Linked DNA regions of Alligator mississippiensis. The protein of the gene in region 1 purifies or fractionates together with the protein of each later gene. This does not show direct contact. Links are inferred from orthologs where the notes say so. Each region holds a gene or a part of one and is shown in the gene's direction. Other genes may lie near its edges. The genes, in order: RCCD1, SPAG9 and KDM8.

What was found.
Region 2: the proteins of RCCD1 (region 1) and SPAG9 purify together in Homo sapiens (affinity purification with mass spectrometry; 3 studies listed by BioGRID and IntAct, counting the BioPlex papers as one, with this or other methods). This does not show direct contact. The link is inferred for Alligator mississippiensis from reciprocal best matches to the Homo sapiens genes RCCD1 and SPAG9.
Region 3: the proteins of RCCD1 (region 1) and KDM8 purify together in Homo sapiens (co-immunoprecipitation; 3 studies listed by BioGRID and IntAct, counting the BioPlex papers as one, with this or other methods). This does not show direct contact. The link is inferred for Alligator mississippiensis from reciprocal best matches to the Homo sapiens genes RCCD1 and KDM8.

The regions. Positions count from the first base shown.
Region 1 is NC_081834.1:798,615-806,271, forward strand, and holds the start of RCCD1 (RCC1 domain-containing protein 1), read left to right. Parts: upstream 1-4,568; 5' UTR 4,569-4,651; coding exon 4,652-4,811; intron 4,812-4,926; coding exon 4,927-5,290; intron 5,291-5,361; coding exon 5,362-5,681; intron 5,682-5,822; coding exon of another isoform or gene 5,823-5,914; exon of another isoform or gene 5,915-6,012; intron 6,013-7,657. Other genes in the region: UNC45A (protein unc-45 homolog A), read left to right, coding at 3,928-4,083, 4,192-4,455. UniProt on the Homo sapiens protein: Plays a role in transcriptional repression of satellite repeats, possibly by regulating H3K36 methylation levels in centromeric regions together with KDM8.
Region 2 is NC_081831.1:10,431,708-10,439,410, forward strand, and holds the start of SPAG9 (C-Jun-amino-terminal kinase-interacting protein 4), read left to right. Parts: upstream 1-4,637; 5' UTR 4,638-4,754; coding exon 4,755-5,060; intron 5,061-7,703. UniProt on the Homo sapiens protein: The JNK-interacting protein (JIP) group of scaffold proteins selectively mediates JNK signaling by aggregating specific components of the MAPK cascade to form a functional JNK signaling module.
Region 3 is NC_081836.1:59,275,138-59,282,615, forward strand, and holds the start of KDM8 (bifunctional peptidase and arginyl-hydroxylase JMJD5), read left to right. Parts: upstream 1-4,476; 5' UTR 4,477-4,500; coding exon 4,501-4,989; intron 4,990-5,126; coding exon 5,127-5,293; intron 5,294-6,384; coding exon 6,385-6,517; intron 6,518-7,478. UniProt on the Homo sapiens protein: Bifunctional enzyme that acts both as an endopeptidase and 2-oxoglutarate-dependent monooxygenase.

The DNA.
Region 1 (7,657 bases):
GGGCACGAGGGTGATCTCCATTTCGCTTACATTTCCCTTCTTTACAATGCCCAGCTTGTCACTGCTGCCCACTGAGCTGACATGTTGAAAGAGCTCTACAGTGACTCCAAGGTCTCCTTCCCGAGTCACTAGAGTTAGTTCAGGACCTCAGGCCGCGTACGTGGAGTTGAGGTTATTTTCCCTGCGTGCATTATATTGCACTTGTCGATGCTGAAGTTCATCTGCCGTCCTGTTGCCCGCTCGCTCAGCTCAGGGAGGTCTTTCTGCTCCTCTCCGTGAGCCTGGCCCTTGGCTACCCAGGATAATATGGTGCCATCTGCAAGCGTGGGGATTTTCCTGTGTACCCATTCACAGATCTTTACTGAACGTGCTGAACTCAATCAGGCCCAGTGCAGATCCCCCCCTTTTTGACCTCTTGATGTGAGACCTGCAGGAGGTTTTGTGTGGAGTCCCACGGTCTGTCCTGGGCCTAGCGCTGTTCAGCAGGCCTAGCAGTGATTTGGGTGCTGGAATAGAGAGCTTCCCAGGCAGGTCTGCAGGTGACCCCAAACCAGCACGTGCTGGGGACAGACGCGGCCTCCAGCAGGATCCCCACAGAGTGAGGCTGGGCTGGAGCCAGCGGGGTGAAGTGCAAGGCTGACAAATGCAGGGTGCTGCAGCTCGGCAAGAAGAAAGAAAAGCACAGACACGGATGGGAGGTGCGTGGTGCGGCGGAGAAGGATCCTGGGGTCACAGAATCACAGGAAAATCAGGCTAGAAGCACCTGCAGGTCGCCAGTCATGGCAGGATCATCCCAAAAAGTCCTTGTCTAACCTGGGGGTGACCAGCTGTGCTACAAGTGGCACTGGCAGTCTCTGTGCGCAGTGCATGGGAGATGGACGGGACAGGCAGCAGATGGTGTAAGGGAGCAGAAAGCAGAGCATCGGATTGGGCAAGGAGCTGATGGTAGAGCAGCAGATCAGGCTGGGAACACGGCAGGGAGCAGGAAGTGGAGCAGCAGATCGGGCAGGGGAGAGGTTCGGAGTGGCACTCGGGGTGGGGGCAAGACTTCCTTTGTGGTCCCCCCACCAGGAAACCTGGCCTGTTCCTAAAGCTCCACCAACGGGCCCGTGCCACGCAGCTCCCAGGCCCGTTGTCCCGACACCAAAAGCACCGTGACCTGTGACAGGTGAAGCGGGAGTGCTGGGAGCACCCTGCTGCTGCAAGGGGTGTCAAAATGTGCTCAAGAGACTCAAGGAAGAGGCCGTGCCCCTGCTACGGAGGAAGGCAAAACCCCACATCCGTCCCTCTGACCACGAGGCTGGGTGCTGCAAGTTCATGCCGTGGCTGCGCGTCCCGCTCCCTGCGGCGATGGGGGAAAGGTGCTCTCCTGGCCTCTGGCAGCCCTCGGGGGCATGCGGGCCACTGTCCTGTCCCTTCACAAACCGTCTTTCCTGCACGCTGACCGTACTTAGTTGGTTCTCTCAACCTCTCCCAAAAACGAGGAGCCCCGAGCTGCTGGCAGTCCTCTAGATGTGTGCTGGGCACGGAGACGGCGTCGCCTCCCGTGTCCTGTTGATGCAGCCTGGAACCACGTTCGGCGTTCTGCTGCTGTGCCGCGTTGCAGGTTCACGTGGAGTCTGACCCGCCGGGAGGATGTGAAAGTGATGGGAAGCTTGGGAGGAAGCAGACACGAGGGGAAGTCACGATCCCAAGACAGGGAAGCGGGAAGTCAGCAGGACTGACGTGTAAGGTTGCCAAAAGGCGGATTTCACCCAGCTCCAGGAGTCCGTGGGCAGGTGCCAGGGGGCGACCCACGGAGGAATTGGCCCAGGCGGGCTGGGCGATAACAGAAGAGATGGTCAGAGCTTCTGATGATGGGAGACGGGCCATGTAACCGAGGACTGGAAAAGGGCCAACGTAGCGTCCCTCTAAACAAGGGAGAAAGGACCCGGGGACCTACAGACCGGGTAGCCTCAGCTCTGTCCTGGGAAGTTACTGGAGCAGATCCTAAGGAAGACCATGTGCAAGCGCCTGGAGGAGGAAGCTGATCGCAGGCAGCCAGCAGGGATTATGAAACACATCATGGGAAGCCCGATCTCCTTCTTTGGCAAAGTGCGTGCTTGGCTGGACGAGGGGAATGCTGCGGGTGTTGTATCTGGACGGCAGCAAGGCTTGTGCCGAGGCCCCGCGTGATCTCCCTTCTCATAAACAAATTGGAGACGTGTGGGCTGGATAAACTACCACAAGGTGGGGGGAAACCTGGCTCAATAGCCCAAGCAAAGGGTAATTATTAACGGGTCCGCGTCACAATGGCAGGAGGTTTCGAGTGGAGTCCCACAGGGTCTGTCTTGGGTGCTGGCAGAGGAAGCTTCTTGAGCAAGTTTGCAGATGACAAAACAGAAGGATTGTGAACAGCCTGGAGGATGTGAGCACAGCTCAGAGGGATCTCGACAGACGGGAAAGCCGGGCTGGAGCAACAGGACGAAGCTCAGCGCGGACAAATGCAAGGTGCTGCGCACAGGAGAAATAATCCAAAACACCGATACAAACGGGGGGACGTCCGGCCAGATGGCAGCTCTGTGGAAAAGGACCTGGGGGTCCCAGTAGAGCACGGACTTGACGGGGTTGGCAGGGTGGTGCAGCCGCACACAAGGCGGATGCAGTTTTGGGCTGTGCCAATAGACGCGTGAGGCACAAGACGAGGTGATGGTCAGGAATCTGCGTGCAGCTCCGGGCCCTGCGTTTGGAGGCAGTTTCTAGAGGCAGCAACACGTGATCAAGGCTTGGAAAGCAGTCGCGTGCGGAGAGGCTGAAGGAGCTGGGCGTGTTCAGCTTGCAGAAAAGGCACTTCGGAGGCCGTGGCAGCAGCGTGCAGACACGTGCAGGGCTGCCCTGAACGGGAGGAAGAACCGCTGGGTTTTCCTGTTGCAGCAGGGAGCAGTGCATGGGCCAACGGCTTGACGCTGCAGCAAAGGAGGTTTGGATTGAAGCCCAGGAACGGTTGTTCGCTGTCAGAGCGGGGAGGCCGCGGGAGAGACACCCAGGGAGGCTGCAGACTCTCTGCTGGGGGTGTCGAGGAGAGGCTGGGCAACCGCCGGGCAGGCATGACGAGGCGTAGCGATGCCTGGAGCGAGCTGTGAAGAGCGGCACGCACCCAGGCGGCTGGATCAGACCTCAGCGTGGAGGAGCGGGTGGAGGCTGGAGGGACCGTGCTCAGCAGCAGCCGAGCAAAGCAGAGCCCCACACCGGGCCTGGGCAGGAACGATGGAAGCAGCTGGGCCAGGCCGGGGGCGACGCCTGGGGCTGCAGCGTTGACATTAGGAAGAACTTCTTCCCAGTTCGAGTGGCCAAGGTCTGGAACGGGCTCCCAAGGGAGGTGGTGCTCTCCCCTACCCTGGGGGTCTTCAAGAGGAGGTTAGATGAGTATCCAGCTGGGGTCATCTAGACCCAGCACTCTTTCCTGCCTGTGCAGGGGGTCGGACTTGATGATCTATTGAGGTCCCTTCCGACCCTGACATCTATGAATGCCCCTCTGGGCTCCCGGCTGTGCTGCCCCATGGGGCCGCGCGGGGCTTTTCCCACTCCTGGTGCTGCGCGGTCCAGGGGTGTGGTGCCTTCCCGAACTTCGGTGCTGGGGCTGGGCGTGGGGACGGGCTCGGCCAGCGCTCCTGCTGGGGCCGAAGCCCGCGGGCCCGGCGAGGAGCTCACCCCCGCACTCGGGCTCAGGGCGACGCTGCGGTCGGGGCAGGAAGGCAGATCGGCACCGACGGGGTTCCCGTCCGGGGCCGCAGGAGACGCGGCTCTGCCGGGGTCTCGGGCCTGCGTCTGAGCCGCTGCCCCTGCCCCGCGGCGGCCGGGCGCTGCCTTCGCCCCGGGCCGGTCGGTCGGTGGGTGGGTGGTGCGGGGCGGTGCGGGGCCGGGGTGACGGCGGTGCTCGCGCTGCAGGTGCAGGACCTGTTCCTGGCCGAGGGCAGCGACCGGCTGAAGCTGCTGGTGCTCTACAGCGGCGAGGACGACGAGAAGCTGCGGCGGGCGGCGGCGGGCGCGCTGGCCATGCTCACCTCGGTGCAGCCCCAGGTCTGCCGCAGGATCCCGCAAGTGGTGAGCGGGGCGGGGGGGCCGGGCGGGGCGGGGCGGGGGGGGGGCAGGGAGCAGGCCGGCGTGCCCGCCCCCCCGGCCCGCCCAGCACGCGCTGCGCTGTCCCCGCAGACGGAGCACTGGCTGGAGGTGCTGCAGGCCTTGCTGCTGAGCGACAGCGCCGAGCTGCAGCACCGCGGCGCCGTGGTGGCGCGGAACATGGTGGCGGCCGACCGCGACGTGGCGGCGCGGCTGGTGGCGAGCGAGGCGCTGGAGATCCTGGCCGTGCTGGCCGAGCAGCACGAGGACAAGCCGCGCGTGGCCCGCGCCGCGCAGGACAGCCTGGCGCGCGCCGTGGCCTACGGCCTCATCCAGCCCCACCCGCAGCGCCCCTGAGCCGCGCCCGCCGCGCCCACGCGGGGGCGCCACCGCGCACGGGAGGCGGGGCGATGCCGCTGCGCCAATACAGCACTTTGCACCCAGCGCGGCCTCCGTCTCTTCCTGCGGGTTGCCGTGGCAGCGCGGGGTGGGGCGGGGCGGGAGGCCGGAAGTCCCGCCCACCGGGCTCCGCGCGCGCCGATTGGCCGGGGCGATGGCGGCGCCGGGCGCCTGGTTCGTCTTCGGCTTCGAGGGCGCGGACGAGCCCCCGCGCGGCCCCGACACCGGCACGGCCGCCCCGCGCGCGCTCCCGCTCCCCCCCGGCGGCGTGCGCGCGCTGCGGCCCGGCTGGGACTGCGTCGTGATCGTCACCGGTGAGCGTGCCCCGGTGCCTCCCCCTCCCCCCTTCCTCGGGCTGGGGCTGCGCCGTGATCGTCCCCGGTGAGCGTGCCCCGGCCCTGACCCCCCCCCCCCCCGCCCCCCCTCCAGGCTCGGGCGCGGCGGTGCTGCGGGGGGGCGCGGGGGCGGCGCTGCCGGGCGGCTGCCGGGACGCGGTGCCGGGGGAGGGCCACGTGCTGCTGGTGCTGGAGGCGGCGCTGGAGGCGCGCTCGTGGGCGGCGCTGCGCGGGGCCGGGGCCGGGGCGGAGGAGCGCGCCCCCGCCTGGCGCCGCCCGCTGCCGCCGGCCGCGCCCGCCCCGGCGCTGCCGCTCGTGCCCGGGGGCTTCGCGGCGCCGCGCGCCCCCTTCTTCTGGCCGCTGCCCGCGCGCCTGCGCGCCCGGCGCCTGGCGCTGGGGCTGGAGCACGCGCTGCTGCTGGGCGCCGCCGGCCTCGTCTACACCTGGGGCAGCAGCCGGTGAGTGCGGGGCTGGTGGACCGGGGTCGGGCCGGGGCCGGGCCCGCGGGTCTGACGGCCGCGTCCCGCAGGCACGGGCAGCTGGGCCACGGCGGGCTGCAGGCGGAGCAGGAGCCGCGCGTGCTGGAGGCGCTGCAGGGGCTGCCCGTGGCCGACGTGGCGGCGGGCGGGTGGCACTCGGCCTGCGTGAGCGGTAGGTACGGGCCCTCCCCGGCGCGGGGGCAGCCGCGGCCGCAGCCACACGGCCGCCCTCTCGCTGTCCCGGCAGACGCGGGCGACCTGTACGTGTGGGGCTGGAACGCGTCCGGGCAGCTGGCGCTGCCGTGCAAGGCTCTGGCGAGGGAGCGCCGCGCCGCGGCCGACGGGCCCCCTGGTGCGGGGGCGGCTGCAGGTGAGGACCCCGCGGGGACGGCGCTGCGGGGCTGAGCGCAGGGCGGGAGGCATCGGCGCGGGGCAAAGCCCCAGCCCCAGCCCGAGGCAGGGTCCGGCTGTAGGAAAGGCAGGACTGCGGCAGCCGACGTCCTGCTTCTAGGAGCGTCCCCGGTGCGCGCGGGACCCGCTGGGCCGAGCCCGCGCCCTTGCTGCAGACAAAGGCAAGCGCTGCCCCAGGGTCGGCTACAGTAACATTCACTCCTGACCCCACGTACGGCCACCGGCCTGCCCCCGGGCGCAGGGGCAAGGCCCTCCCGCCTGCACCCTCCGGCGTTCGTCCCAGCAGCAGAATCGGCGCGCCCCGTTGCTGTCCCTCGCCTTGGCTGTAGCCAGCACCCGGTGCCTCCGGGGAGGCAGACGATAAGTAAGGGGCGCAGATGGAACAAGCACAAACCAGAGGGAGACCCAAGCGGAGAACAGGCATCGCCAGGCCTGCCCGGCTCGCTCCTGCCCCCTGGCCGCCCAGCCTCTTCTTGAACACCTCCAGGGATGGAGCCCGCCCCTGCCTGGGCATCCCCCACAACCTCCCTGCTCTGACGGGGGCGAAGCGTTTCCAGGCATCCAAACTAAATTTATTTTGTTGCACCTTCAAGCCACGGGTCGGCACCTGCGGCAGGAGAGCAAAGGGGCTTTCCCTGTCCTTCAGGGCAGCTCTGCACGGACTGCTCTTGACCACACGTTAGTGTCTTTCGCACACGGTGAACGTGCCCAGCTCCCTCAGCCTCTCCTAGGATTTGCTTTCCAAGCCCTCGATCATCTCTGCTGCTGCCTCTGGACCCTCAGGAGGCCAACACTGTGTACCTTGACTTCCAAAAGGGCTGTGATCTGGTTTCCTACCCCGTTCTCGTGAAAAACTTGGAGAACTGTGGGCTTAACTGTGAGACAGGCGGGTGGGTCGGGAGCTGGCTGTGGGGTAGGAACAGATCTGTGTCGTCTTGGCAAGAAGAGGGCAGAAGCGTCCCGCAGGGGTCGGTGCTTGGTCCAGTGCTTTTCAACATCTTTGTTAAGGATTTGGATGTGGGGGTGAAGAGCGCGCTGGCCAAGTTCATGGACAACACCAAGTTATGGGGAACACGGTCCCACTTGAAGATAGGTTATAGATCCAGGCGGACCTAGACAGGCTGGCAGATTGGGCAGACTGGAACCTGCTGAAGTACAGCGCTGAGAAACGTGAAGTGCTCACCTGGTGATGAGCAACCCCCAACACACCTGCAGGCTTGACAGCACCAGCTGGCTAGCACCACGAATGAAAGGGACCTAGGGGTAATAATAGACCACGTATGACCATGAGCCGGCAGCGCGAGGCTGTAGCCAGCCGGGCAAAAGCACCATGGCAGGCATCAACCATTGCATCTCCAGCAAAACCAAGGTGATGCTTTTGCTCTGCTCAGCACTGGCGAGACCGCAGCTGGAGGACTGCGTCCAGTTCTGGGTGCTGCACGTCAGCAAGGACGTGGAAAAGCTTGAGAGAGTGCAGAGAAGAGGCACCCGTCTGAGCAGAGTTGTACACGGCGAGCCATCCGAGGAAAGCTGAGGGCCCTGGGACTCTTCAGCCTGAATAAGAGACGGCTGAGGGGGACTTGGTAGCAGCTTCCCGCTGTATGTGGGGAATATGTCAACAGCTGTTCACCAGGGTACATGGGGGAGAAACCAGGAGCAACGCTCACAAACTCCTGGAAGACTATTTTAGGCTCAGCATCAGGAAAAACTTCGTAGTGAGGGTGTCCAGACTGTGCGATAAGCTCCCTCCAGAGGGGTGCAGTCGCCTACCCTGGAAACATTCGAGAGACGGCGGGCACCTGCCCCGTTGTCTTTCCTGCCTGGTGCAGGGGGCTGGACCCGGTGATCTTCCGAGGTCCCTTCCAGCCTCCGTCTATGAATGGTGGAAAGGACGTGGAGGAGTTGAAAGGCAGAGACCAGACCTGCACCTGGGAC
Region 2 (7,703 bases), on another chromosome or scaffold:
AGTGCATCCAGCTCCATGACCCTGCAAGTTTGTAAAATCAGACATGCACCAATGGAGAATTTCTGCTTTAGGAGGACAGCTTAAATATGACGAGTCATTTTATTAAAGCCCCGTCAGTTAAATTATAAATGGCTCCTGTGGGTGTTATATCCCATAAACTAAAATAGTTTCTACCTGCAGACAAATGATACTCCGAAGGGTATGAAAGCATTTAGTGCTTTCAAGAATGATCCAAAAAGCAGAATGTGGACTTGTGACACAATTACTATGGAGTAACTGATGCTGGATTTTCCGGTGTGGTAAGGAACAGACTCAGGTTCGTTTCTCCGAAGCAAGCTGCCAGTAGTAGGTGCTATTAGAGCACCTGCCCACGAGGTGGTGAAGGGAGTCAGTTTGCATTAAACAAACAGCTACACCGGGGGAAATGACTGGGAAAAATTTATACTTTATACAGTTACTTATTTTCTGAGGGTAACTAAGTGGAGTGACTCCTGTACCTGTAAATTTACTCTATAGTAATTTAGTCTGTAGTAAGTGACTCATGAGTCTACATCCTACATGATTTGCTGTCAGTGCCTGTCACTAGTTACTTATTGATCAATACAAATGAGATTCAGAGACATCAGTACCAGCAGGAAAGACATTTAAACAGCACATATTGGTCTCTGATCTTCTTGAAGCAGCGACCTTCCCTCAAGAAGTGTATGGAAAATAACTAGCATATTGTGGTTGCGCTTATAATCAATCGATCAAAATCAAACCAATCAATCATCATCTCTACATCATTAAGTTCTCTGGGTATATTTAAAAACTATCTGCATACCGTTTTTCTGTAGTTTTGAGGCATTACAGACATTTGGTTCGCAGGATCAAGTCTTTGGTCAGGGGCTTTTCTCCCCCATGTAAGTCCAGAAAAGTCATTGTTCCACGCAGCTCAGTAATAAATGTTGATTCGATTCTTGATTTTTAGCTTCTGAGTTGTTTTTAACTGAATCTCATCTTCAGCCATAGCGATGGGTCAGGATTCCTGTGCACATCACGGAAAAGGCAGAATAGAGATGGAAACTATCTTTATTTTGTATTAAATTGGTAAACATTTAACAGTCATATGAAAAAAACTGTCCTCCAGAGATACTTCATCATCACAATGTTACTTTTATTTTCAGTCTGCCTCTTAACAGAATCCATATGTCTTTTCAATTAGGAAAGCCCTTACAAACCTTTAGCAAGTTATAATATGCCAGCAAGCTCTTAATGGGAAATGAGAGGATAAAAGAAGGATTTGTGGGATGCGCAATAAATGTACAGAACATACAGCTGAAGTGTGAAGGAGATGTCTCTGCTATACAACAGTGAACTGTTGATTGAGTCCAGCGTGTTTGTATACCACCTGAGATTTTTCAAGACAGACCTAACCCAAAGCCATGAATATGGACACCTGAAAAATATTTAGGAAATTGCAGATATGGACCCTAAATTCGTGGCTCTGGTCCCAAGTTTATCATGGTATGAGCTAAAACCCTATATATCTGTAACCCCAGGCAAGGGTAAAATTGCTGTCTGGTTCCAAGCTTCATAACTTAGTTTATATTTCTCTTTATAATTAGACTGAGAGAGCTGTGATGTGTAGCTGCACCAGCTTTGCATGTTGATGATTTGGTTATCATGACCACACCCTCTCATCTAGGGTGTATTTGATTTCTACTCAAATAATCTCCTCTGGGTAATGTCCCAGTTAAAATTTCATCCTAAACTCATTTGAGGCCTAATTTCCTTCTGCAGTATTTTTTTTTAAATCTATTTAATTTTCAAACAAACTGTCATTTCTAGGGATAGAGAAAATTTTGTATCTCACTACCTGGCAAACTCTCATTTTATCCGGTATTAATTCCTAAGGGCATGAATTGTACTTTTTCCTTTATTGGACACCACCTAGCATCTCAGAGTAACAGACAGGGCGCCTCCTACTCCTTAATGCTTAATTAGTTAACTAGGGGCACATCTACACATGCGCATTTAGTGCACAGTATAGCTATGTGTCTACATGTGCACGCCTGTACTGCACAGTAAATATGGTGACTTATGCTGACTTGAGCATAAATTTGATACCTGCATCATGCAGGTATCAAATTTACCCCCAGTTACTGCACAGTAATGCACATGTAGATGCCTTACTACGTAGTAACAGTGTGTGTGGATGGACTTGGGACTAATTTTAGTCCCAAGTCAGTCCACACACACAGTTACTAGACGTGCCCCTAGTAGTTTACTGCATAGTAAATTTAAGTCAGCGTAAATGCACGTGTAGACATGGCCTAGGGTGATCATTTATAAAAATTCCTTAATGTCTTAGCAAGCAACAAGGCTATGCATCCCTGTGGGTGGAAACATCTTTTTCTGTTTCTAATGATCAGCTTCCTGGCCACAACCAATTCAAAGGTACATATGACAAAATAGGAGCAGAGTGACAGGCCAGTAGGCAGGATATGATGAGCACCTACATAAATCCCCTTGCAACACATGCTTTCAGATTACAGTTTTTCTAAATGTGCTGATCCACGTAAGGAAACATCATCGGACTGGAAATAATACAGTCAGCAGACCATAGCCTATTAAAGCCATCCCCCTAGCTTGTAGGTTCCTGGGGAACCTCTGGCTGGATTGGAGTCCTAGTGGACTACCACAGCAATACGAAAGAAAGCCTCTCTGTTCTGTTTCTACTAACACTGCTGATGTAGAACAGATGGTCCTCAGAGAGCCCCCTCCTTTGATGGCTTTCAGCAAAGCACTGTGACCCATTTTTGCTGTCTGGCAATACATATGTGTCTGGAACTTCTGCATTTGCATTATTTGATGAAAATAATTGTCAATAAAATCCTACTTAGAGAAACTCAAACTTATCAACCTTTTCACCTTAGAGCCATCTCAGTTTGCTTACAATAATTCCTTTGTGAAAAAGGAAACGCTTCTTCTATATAAGGTTGCAAGGATGGAGTTAAAACCCCACCTCAGTCAGAAAGGTGCCTCTTCAAGACTGTCTGGATGATGGCATAATGGAGCCACTTTGCCGTCAGTGATATCCCTGCAAGGTTTAGTGAAGCCGTGTAGAAAATCCATGAGAAGTGGGTGTCACCACTGGTTTGAACAGCTGTGCAATGAGTAAAACGGTCACTTGAAGGATGAGAGAAATCCTGGAAGTCAGCTCCTCTCAACAGTCCCTTGCCAAGGAAATAGCAAAGGCAGAGAAACATAAGAAAGCTGCAGGTGATCTCTCCAGGGACAAAGACTAAAGAAAGACCATGTCTGATATGTATTCAAGGGTGTGATCCAACAGCTTAACTGAAAGTTTCATGTATGAAAAACATGCCAAATCAGACCTAAAATGGGATTACAACTGAAAATGTCATCTTGTTTTCCTCAGTTTGGGCTAGTAAACAGGTCAGCTGTGTGCCCCTGTACTTCCTAATTAACTCTCAGGCTCCTTTTTGGCTGGCCATACTTGTTTACGGTACTGGTTTAAGGAACATAACTCTTCTACATCTTCAAAACACTTGGCCACATTCTTTTCAATCTTGCACCTCCTCTAGTTTCCCTCTCTGCAGTCCCACCAGCTCGGTGGATTTAAACAAACGATGCAGACACATTTTAAGTTCAGTAACTGCCTCTGGATCAGGCCAAACAAAGGAAAGCGTAACGTAAGCTTCTGCTGCTCTCCAGTGGAAAATAACACAATTGCCGGTGGTAGATTGTCACTGCTCCATTCATTTGCCTTTTTAAACAGATTCTTCCCTAATCCCACGCTGGCAGGCAAGGTTCTTTGGGTAGATGTGATATCTTTTATTAGACCAACTGAGTAGTTGGGAAACAGTTCTCAGCAAGCTTTCGGGCACCATCACCCACTCTTGCACAAGATAACTGCATCACAGAGAAGTAGGACTGGAAGGGACTTCCTGAGGTCATCTATCCAAACCATCCCATACAAACCATCATCTATTCTAACCTCTCCATAAGAGGACCGTCAACCCTGACGGCACAGACCTAACCCCCTAAGCTGCCACACATGCAGCAGGGACATCGCAGCAGCCAGCGTCCTGCTTCTATGAAATGTTGTCCGTATACGCCCAGGAGATCCCGGGACTGGGCCAGTCCCATCCCTTTGTTACACCTCAGGAAGAAGCCGGGCTTTTTGTGCTCAGAGGCTGGCCAAGCCCCATGGGCGCAGCACGGGTCTGGGAGCCGTGAGCCCTTAAATCTAGTCCCAGGTCTGGCCGGTGACTCCGTTCGTCCCAAGCAAGGTTCCTGCGCCTCCTGTGAATGCTCCACGTGTCATCAGGAGGCGGCAGCAGCAGCGCAGGGCACGAGCCGTCCCTGCCCCGCGCCCCCAGCGCAGCCACCGGGCCAGGGCAGGGGGGCGGGGCCCGCAGGGCTCGGTGGCGTCACAATCGCCCGCGGTGTCCCAGGATTCCACGACGCGTCTCCCGCCCCGAGACATTCGCAAGAGCACCCCCGGCTCGCCCACCGACCCCGCCTCCTCCCCGGCTAAGCCCCGCCCCAGTGACGTCACGGCCCGCGCCCCTCCGCCCGTGACGCCACTGCCCCGCGCCCCGCCCTGGTGAGGTCAGTGCCGTGCGCCGCCGCCTCGCGCCCGGCCCCGCCCGCGCGGTAGGCGAGGCCCCGCCGCAGAGGGAGCAGGAGCTGCCGCCCGTCCCGTCCCGTCCCGTCCCGTCCCGCCGGAGCGAGGCAGCGCCGCGGCCATGGAGCTGGCGGACGGCGTGGTGTACCAGGAGGAGCCGGGCGGCCCGGGCCCCGCCATGATGTCGGAGCGGGTGTCGGGGCTGGCGGGCTCCATCTACCGCGAGTTCGAGCGCCTCATCGGGCGCTACGACGAGGAGGTGGTGGCCGAGCTGATGCCGCTCGTGGTGGCCGTGCTGGAGAACCTGGACTCGGTGTGCGCGCACAGCCAGGAGACCAGCGTGGAGCTGGAGCTCCTGCGCGACGACAACGAGCAGCTCCTCACGCAGTACGAGCGCGAGAAGGCGCTGCGCAAGCAGGCCGAGGAGGTGCGTGAGCCGCCCGCCCGCCCCGCCCCGCCTGCCTGCCTGCCTGCCTGCCCTGGGGCGGGGGACCGGCCCCCTCAGTCTCCCCTTCCTTGCCCCCCGCATTACCCCTCCCTTCCTTACCCCTCCCTTCATTATCCCCCCTCATTACCCCTTCCTTCATTGCCCCCCTCATTACCCCTCCCTTCATTGCCCCCCTCACTATTCCTCCTTTCATTGCCCTGCTCACTATCCCTCCATTCATTGCCCCCCTCATTACTCCTCCCTTCATTGCCCCCCTCATTATCCCCCCTCATTACCCCTCCCTTCATTTCCCCCCTCATTACCCCTCCCTTCATTTCCCCCCTCATTACCCCTCCCTTCATTGCCCCCCTCATTACTCCTCCCTTCATTGCCCCCCTCATTACTCCTCCCTTCATTGCCCCCCTCATTACTCCTCCCTTCATTGCCCCCCTCATTACCCCTCCCTTCATTGCCCCCCTCACTATCCCTCCCTTCATTGCCCCGCTCATTGTGCCCCCCCTTTATTGCCTCCCCAGGCAGTTTCCCTTGCAGCACCCTCTGGCAGCCCTGTGGCCTCCGCTGCCTCCCCTCCGGGTGCCCAAGCCACCCGGCCTCCTCCTAGCACTGGCAGAGAAGCCCCATGGCCCTTCCCGGTCCTTTCCCTCTTTCTCTTCCTGTGACTTTCGAGGTCGGCTCCCCTCGCCCCTCTCCTCGTCCTGGCTCCTCCACCCCACAGCTGGTTTCCTTCTCACTTAGCGATGCTGCTGGCAGGGCAGACCAGGGAGCCAGGCATTAAGGACTTCCCCAGCGCCCGCTTCCCCCTTCGGCAAATGCATGGAGGTTGAGGAGCTTGGGGGGACTTGGGGCTGTTACTTGTGAGTGGCCGGGGCGGCCGGCCTGGGACGTGGCGCTGCGTTGTGGCCTGGACAGAAGCAGCAAGGGTTTGTCCCTGTGGAAAGCTCAAGGGCCAGGGAATGGGACGCTTCAGCTGAGCAACAGGTAATGCAGGTTGCTCAAGACTGGTACTTGGCTGATGACAGTAAGCCGCCCGTGTGGGCGTTACAAGGTCATTCATTCAAATTCACATAGTCTTGGAGGGAGGAAAACAGGAAAGCTGCCCTTGCATCAGAACATCATCATTTTGTATTCTTACACTATCATTTGGGGCTTTAAATTTCTTTCTCCCAGGACACTGACTATGCCCATCTTTTTCCCTGAAGATTTTAGTCGAGTTTGCGTGTCCAAATCCATAAGAAGACTAATAGTCTCAGTGGAGATTCAGTGGCCAAATCTCCGAATCCAAATCGAATCGGAAGACCCTTTAATCGATTCAGAGAGATTTGGAAAGATTCGACAATTCAGCCATAGGCATAGCTTTAAATGTTTTTTTCCTACATACCTCGAGATACCAGGCGGGTCGTGAGTGCTGCGATGCTGGGGCGGGCAGAGTGTCTTGTAAGAGCGCAGGGGACTCCCCAGTGCGTTTGGCAGCAGACGTGGAAGTGAACCAGAAGCACTTCTGGGCCTGTCAGGGAGCATGCAGGGGGGCCCCCCCTGCGTCCTCCTCCAGCTCAATAACTAGTGCCTCCTGGGTCTGGGGGGCACACCTGGGGTCCCCCCAAACCCGATCACCAAGCTGTGGGGGGGGCCCCTGTGCACTCAGTACTTCCAGTCCGCTTCTGGGTTCGTTGCTGAGCATGCAGGGGTGCCTCCCCATGCTCCTGTGCGGGACGCTCCATCTGCCCCAGCATTGCAACGCTCACGAGTCAGGCCTGGTACCTCAAAGTATGTACAAAAAACATTTAAAGCTGCGTCTGTGGCTGAATCGCTGACTCCAAATCAGCATTGAATCTTTGGGTTTGGCCGAATCGAATCAGGGACAGCAGTCTGAATCAAGAAATTGAATCACTGTCCCCGATTCGGGTTGAATTTGAATTGAATACGGCCAGCTTTGCACACCCCTACAAAATATGATGCTATTAGTTGTATCAGTGCTCTTGGACTCTTGAGAAGTTGCAGATCTGTAGGTATTTCTGCAACTCTTGTGGTAACTTAATTGCTTCACGATCTATTTCTACCGATTTATTAACTGGACTAGATTTGCTGCCTAGTTGCTTCAGCAGAACTTGTTAGGAGTCTCAGAAACTATAACTAGCTTAGGGAATGGACATAACTTCTTTCCACCAATGTAATTTACAGCTGTTTGATACGTAGATATATGGCATACCCCGTTTAAAGTTATAGCCTGTCAACGGAGCTCCTTAAATATTGAATTCTGTCCTTGCTGTATCAGCACCCCTGAACCTGACTAAATACTGTCATTTTCAAGTCTTCTAATATCAGCCCCTTGATGGTTGCTTTCCCATTGTTGTGTCTGGTGCTAATTATGCAGTTAAACAGAGTATAATTACATCACCGAGTAGGTAGTTTTGTCTGAAAGGTTCTTTATGCTTCACTAGTGTAAGTACTTGGATGATATGCAGATAGCACAATGTCAAGCTCATGTTTTTCTTAAGCTAACCAGTAAAATGAATTTTACACTGATCCAGTATGCACAGAAGTGGAGTACACTGTTAAATGTACTGGGCTGCAGAGCAGTCTGACCTATGTGGTTATTTCCATGCAGTACACAGTCATTACAGT
Region 3 (7,478 bases), on another chromosome or scaffold:
CAACAGCAACGGCACACTGTTGACTCATCTTCACACGATAGCTCCCAGATCCTTTTCTGCAGCACTGCAACTTAAGTGTTCTCCAATTTATATCTGGGCATTTGATTGTTCAGTCCTAAGCACAGCACTTTGCCTTTGTTCTTATTGTACTTCACCTGATTTACACTGTGTTTTGAAAGAATACAGGTCTCTCCTTATTCAGTCCCTGATCAAAGACTTAATGAAAATCTGGAGTGAAAAAATATAAAATCAGTCTGAGTAAATTATGGTAATCTCCCTAGTAGCTGCTGAGGCCACAGGAAGAAAAGCAGCAAAGAAAACAACTCCAAAAACAAAAGAACAGCCCAAACAAGAGCTCCATCTCTGAGATGCTCTGAGGCGTCTCCGTCATCCCGCAGCGCCCACCATGCTGCCACCCCCGAGGAGTATCCTTACATAAAGGGTGCTAGCTGTGCCAGCGTGCTAGTCTCAAACCCCGTCAGCCCCTCTTCTCATCTGCTAAAAGCCGTATCGCGTGATGATTTTTAGCAGAAAGTTTTCTCAACACCTTCAGATTATGGGTCAGATTAAATCAGTGGAAAGGCTTGGCTCAGAACAAAATGGTACTAGGTGGAAACGTCTCAAAGAAAGTACACACGAGCAGATACCCCATATCAAGCCCTGCCTTGATACTTGTGCCTCTAAGCATGCAGTTTTGAACGTGCGATTCCTTCAGCAGACAAAGTGCTGTCTCCACTGCAGACTGTGCTTTGCTTAACATCACACATTACACACGGCTGCTATGCAAGCCCCCTTTCCCTTTAGCTGAGCAGGAGTTTGTCACTGTACAACACTGTGGTCAGCGCTGGGGCCTTTGCTACGGGTGGGAGAATACAGCTAACGCCCTGCATGAGTGTGACAATGGTTTTGCAAGCAAACTCCTAGGGACGAGGGTTAATCTGGTCAGTCAGCTGACAGATATGAGACTTCTATCGGTTTTCTGTGGTTAAATCCAGCTCAGCACACACCTCGTATTTGCAAAGCATTTTCTTTCAGTTGTTGCTGTAGCAGTTTCCGTGCTGAAATGGAGGTCAGCGGTGGTCTAGGGATGGAGTCCACCCGTCTTTTGCTCCAACAACAAGACAGGCTGCTGTCTTCCAAGAACAAATCCACCGTAGAAACCGTTCCCCTCAGATGGGTTTAATGACATTGCGGGAAATTGTCAGTTCCACCCCGCAATCTCTGCTGCAACCGCTCTCCTATTATTTACAGTACAAAGTGCTGGCTTGTTACCCCACATATTATTTTTTTAACAGAAAACATACCTTGTTCACTTAGCAAATATTTGGTTTTCCCAGTGGTGGTGTGTTATATGCTAGAATAGGTACCGTGGCGCGAGGGAGGTGGAGACGCGTGCAGCTGCAGCGTGGTTGTAACCCAGCTCCCCCAGGGACTGCCCCCGCGTACAGCCTGTCCAGCGGGTGCTGAGCACCCCGCAGGGACCATGGCAAAAGAGCGGTGTTTGCTGTGTTTTCTAACCTGTTTCATATATACTGAGAGAAAAGAAAGAGAGCTCATCGTGTGTTGAACTGAACGTTACGGTGAGTCCAAGGGAGCAAGGATGCCTGCAGGGCCTGGGACCGAGAGCGATTGGACAGCCGGGGCCAGCGGACCGTGCCGATGCTCTGACGCGATACAGAAGAGGAAAGTTCGTCAGGGACCTGACGCACTTCTCTCTCCTTTCCTGGCCTATCTCTAAGTCTTTCTGGGCGAGGTGCAGGCAGCCACTGGTACGTAAGGCCTAACGGTTTCCACATCCGATATACATTGCTTAGCTTCAGCTTTCCTGCAACAGCAGCAAACGGCCTTTGTTGCTAAATTATAGTTTTACGTTCAATGTCCTTTCGCAAAGCCTAAAACCCCCTTATATTGTGTTTGCACAGACTAATGGCCAATTTTGCAGCTTTCAGAAACAAGTTGCTCACACCAGTAATGTGGTTAAAAACAAATGGTTCTAGACAAAACCCATCATTAAAACTTCATCTTTTTCCCTAAAAATAAAACATGGAAATGAAAATAATCCTTAGTTAGCATTTTAAGCCATTTTAACTTGAATGTTAAATGTTAACAACCTGAACAAGTTGTTTTTCACACAAAATTGAAGCTTTCAAAAGTAATTTGTAAATGGCTATGTAACATTCCTAATGGACACAGGAAAAATTATGCTCCTAAATAATTCCACCTAGCTTTTTGTAAAGTTGTAAAGAAAAAATCCATTAGCCTCTCCATGGCTGGCGCAAATTGGCTAAGAGCCCTGGCTCTCCGACGTCCCACCACCACGTAATGCACGCTGGCAGCTGCGAATCCAAGATCCATACGGATAAATAATACATGTTTATTGTTCTGACTACAACAGGTTTAGTTCTCCACTCCTGTGCTGCAGTTGGCCATAAAATAGATGTTTGAAGATAATACGTTATAGAGCTACACCTCTCATTAGGAAATACTGTCAGGCAGGTGCAAGACAAACCCGTAATGACCTCAGTCCTAGCACACACCGTGCTCCTCCCGGGGTCAGGGGAGGCCAGGATTCGCTTGCATCAGGGCCAAACCCAGACGCTTCTCCTAAACATCGAGACGCCCATCAGGGCAGACCTGTATCGCACCCGTCTCTTCCCGCCCGAGAACCGGAACAGCTCGACCGGCATTTCTTAGCCCTGACCCCACTACTTCGTATTGCTCTCTCAAAACCCCTCCACGATGACGGTGACTGCCTCACAGCCATTAACGCCCCTGAACCCCGAGCAGTCAATCCGAGTAAAATGAGATAAGGCCTGAGTGGATTACACGCGGAAAAAACCCCAAAGCAACCAAGCAGAGATACTGGCAGGACAGATGTGAAGAAAAACTTGGGCAGCCACAGAAGGAGACGGCGTCTTTGGTAAAATGGTTTAAACAAATTCCCACAGGTGAAGGTGACAACGCAGGATGCTTCAATGGGAAAAGGGAGCTTTGAAGAGTCACAATCCCAGCAAAAATACGGATGGACGCAGGGTGCGCGGGGGGGCTCGGAAGCGCGACGCGGTTACATCAGCCAAGCTGCCTTTCCTGCCTGGTGCCGGGGCCTGGACACAACCGCCTCCCCAGGTCCCTCCCGGCCTACCAATCAATCTACGAAAACCATGTTTTCTGACACGCTTCGCATGTTCGCTCGTTTTGCCCGTCGTTTCTAAGAAGGCGCGAGCTGGGGAGGCGCCATCGAACGGCAGTACGAAAACGCAGCATGTTCAAAGCGAGAAGGAAGCGTCTTGTCAAACGCCCCCTCGTTGCCTTGTTAACTCGAACGCCGCTTTAGCAAAGTAACGGGAGATGTATTATTTTTAAAAACTCACTAAATATCTGAAAGGTAAAAACCCATGAAGCATAAACAACGCTGGGAGGTTATAAAATATAAATCTCGCCAGACAAGCGTGATTGCTTTTTCCCCCCTTGTAGTATTACAAAAATTAATGGATGAAAGGCTCACAGTTAAATGTAATATATTTGGACGTTAGCGAAGGATTCGAGACCTGCCTCATAAAATCTTAATAGAAAAACTAATTGGACTCAGCTTGCACATTGCGCAGAGGTGAGGACTCAAAACTGACAGAAGAAATATAAACAGAGAAGTAAACTGGGAACCACGCCGGTCGGGGCGGCTCTGGGGCATCTCTAGACGTGCCAGGTCCCGTCCGCAACGTCCCGCGGGCGACGGGAAGCGACCGGGCAGGAGCTGCAACGTGCGGCGCGGCCTTCGCCCAGGGAGAGATACAGGGAGCAACGGGACATGAGGCGTCGCAACAGTGCCCGCACTCGTCCGTCCAGGCCGCCTGTCCCGCATCAGGGGCAAGGGACAACCCCGGGGATGTCGGAAACCCTGGTGGGACCAAGTGCGCAACTTCCCTGAGGAGACGCACGTGGCACCGGGTTTTCGGCTTAGAGAGAGACTGAAGGAGGGAAGTGTTTGCAAAGGCCAAAGGGCGCAGGAGGCAAAGAGCAGGTCGGGCCCCGCGGCCCGGGCCGGAGCACCGCCAGGGACAGCCCCGCTCCCGCGGAGGCAGCACTGCGCGCTGAGCCCCGCTCCCGCCCGCGGCCCACATGAAGGGTCTGGTGCGAGGCACGCGGTGTGGTGTGGTGTGTGTGCGCACAGAAGCTCCCGCCACAGCCCCTTTCTGTAGCGCTAGATCGATATCGGTATCTCTCTATGCCTGCCTCTGTCTGTCTGTCTGTCTGTCTGTCTAGCTATTTATGTATTTCTATTTCTCTCTCTCGGTGCGTGCACGTGCACTTCACGCCGCTGGCGCGCCCGCCCCGACGTGCTCCCGCCCCGCTAATGACGCGCGCGCAGCAGAGGGCGGGCTTAAATGGGCGGCGGGAGGGGCGTGGCCAGGCGCGGGGGGCGTGGCGGCGCGGCGGCGCGGTACTTCCGGAAGGGGCGTGGCGGGCGGGAGTCTGGCGCTTCCGGGTTCCGGCGCACGTGGGATGGCGGGCGCGGAGGCGGCGGCGGCGGCGCTGTGGGGGGAGGCGCGGGCGGTGCTGCCGGGGGCGGAGGCGGACGTGGCGGCGGCGCTGGGGGCGCTGGAGGCGGAGGCGGGCCCGGTGCTGGCGCTGCTGCAGCGCGCGCGGGCGCTGGTGTACGAGGGCGGGGCGCCGCGGGCCGGGCCGCCGCGCGCGCGGGAGCTGGAGGCGCTGGGGCGCGCGGCCGGGGCGGCGGCGGACTACGCGTGGGAGCGGCTGCAGGCGCGCGCGTGGCGGGACGTGGAGCCGGGCTGGCGCCGCGCCTTCGCCCTCGCCTGCCTCTTCCGCGCGCTCGCGCTGCTGGGCCAGCCCGCCCGCGCCCTGCGCGCCTGCGACCGCGGCCTGCTGCTGGGCGCCGCCGTCCTCGACGGGGCCCTCGCCCGCCTCGCGCGCCTGCTGCAGCGCCGCCTGCCCCGCGCCCGCGCCCCCGCCCCGCCGCCGCCGCCCCCCAAGGTACCCGCCTGCCGGGCCGCCCGGGCAGAGAAACGTTAAATGTCTGCGCTGCTGGCAGGCCGCACGGGGCCCCCGGGCCGCGCTTGCCGGTGCCTGGTCGGTGCGCCGGGGGGTGCTGACCCGGGGTCTCGTTGCAGAGGATGCGGAGCGACGCCGGCGCGGCCCCGGAGCTGGCGTCGGAGCCTGCCGTCCCGCGGCTCCGCTGCCCGTCTCTGGAGCGTTTCAGGGAGAGCCATTTCATCCCGCAGAAGCCCGTGGTGTTGGAGGGGGTCGTTGACCACTGGCCGTGTATGAGGAAGTGGAGGTGAGCAAGTGGAGCTCGTCCTCCGTAGGTGCGCTTCGTGCCCCTGCCCCAGCTCGCCCGGCTCCCCGAGGAACGAGGTGCGGCACTGACTCCCGTGACGCGCGGGAAGTAACGTCTTCCCACGCCGCGTGCTGGGTTTCCCGTTGCTAACGGGACTCCAGCGTGACAGATGCAAGTTGCTAAACCGCATCCTAATAGCTCAGGCGTTGCTAATCGCAGGATGTAGAAGTCGGATGTTGGAGCACATTGTGCATCCAGGCCATCCCTGCAGGAGCCGGTGCAGGGAGTTTCCTGGTGCAAATGTTAGTGGTTTAGTGTTTAATTGTAAACGGGAGCTGCGTGTATAGCGCCCGGGACTCGGTGGGCGTATGGCTCAATTTTCTCAGCCACATCCATGACCGTTACTTATTTAGGTATTCTTGTGAACATGACTTACTAATATTTGACATGAATTTCAGTTTCAAAGCTGTATGTACAAGTAATATTAGAAACCACTTTTTTCATTCAAAAATGCAAATGTTGCAGCCACATTCAGTGAAACTTTCCCAGTTGTAAGGTAGAAGTAACACCGTGCAGCTCATCAGACCACTCACAACTAAACTTTCACATGTTGAGTGTTGCATCCGTGTAGCGAAATGTTCATGATGAATACACAGGGTAACACTTGCAAAACAAAAACCCCTCGGACTTGAGGAAACCATCTGGTTGCTGGTGTTTCATAAGTACAGGGAGAAGCCAGGTCCATTGACTAAACGGCTGCTCGTTGTTCAGACCAGCTCTTCTAAATTGGCAACACATTTTTCAAAAATGAATACAGCTTGTAGCATTTCGGTGCAGGTGCGTGCGCCCGCGTGGGCCCTTGCTGTCTGCATCCTTAGCCTTGCTGGGGGCACGGTGGCCTGCTGCTGGAATAGTCGGCATGTTCCCGTGTTCCTCCTAAGGGTTAAACTATCCAAGGTAGCTGCCTTGTGCGTTGAACACTAGCACTGCATAAACCCCCCTCAGAAACCTGATTTCCTATCTACATTTAAACTCGATAAAAACAAAGATGTTAAATGAAATCTAAATGTAATGAACCTGCTTTGTTCCAGTGTGGATTACCTCCGTGAAATTGCTGGGTGGCGCACAGTCCCCGTGGAGCTAGGTTTGCGATACACAGATGAAGAATGGTCTCAGGAACTCATGACTGTGGATGACTTCATCAGTCAGTATATTGTGAACAAGGTCTGTTGTTTCCACGTGGTTTTATCTCCACAAACGCGGCAGTGTCCTAATGGACTGAAGGATTTCTCCCTTGGTGGTCTGGCCAGAGCTTATTAGAACAGGTAGCTGCTCGTAGGGGGTCTTGAGCGAGCTTCGGGTTTATAAACAGGTCTATGGATTACTGTGCCAGTCACATTTTCAGGCTGGTTGCAGCCGTGACTGCTTGCTCCTTGTTCAGGCCTGAACGTGCAGCATCAGAAGGTTGGGGAGATTTTCCAAGAGCCAGACATAGCACCAGTCGCGTGCTGGGGAGTACTGTGCTACACATGCCCATTACTCTGCCTCTATGAGGGGTGGAGTGGGGCTGCCCACGGGGGGATTTACAGCTCGGGTGGTTTTGAACATTGCACAGAGTCGGTCAGGAGGCTCATGCGATGAATATTCATTGCAGTCTCTACAGTGGACCTGCTTTCTGTGTGTGCGTGCATTTGCATCTCTGCAACAGAGATGCTGGTGTGACTAGAAACCAAACTCTTCTCCTCACCACTGTTAGGGTTGTTATGAAAAAGATAGCCGTGCAGTTGTAGAGACCTCAGCTCTCCTGCGTAGCTCTGGTGCTGTTGCAGGCAAAATGGGGATGTTCTCCTATTGAAAGATCATTTGGATTTTTCTTTGCCCTAGCTAGCGTCTGTTTTTATGTGGCCTGACCCTGGAACAGCAGGGTCTTCTGCAGGTCAGGAGCATCAGGCCAACCCCATAGCCAGCAGTATTATTCCTCCGGTGGATGTGTGGGGCTTTATGAGTTCTAAGACTATAAGCTCCAATATTACTGCATGTCAGTCATGGGCAGTGAAGAAACGAGAGCTGACTGGTGACAGCAGTCTGTACTGTGGATGTCAGCTGAGACGCTTCCTGGTTCCTTCGCCTTCTTGTTGGAGGATCCTATTGAGGTATATTTGCATTGCAGACTGCACAGTGGTGT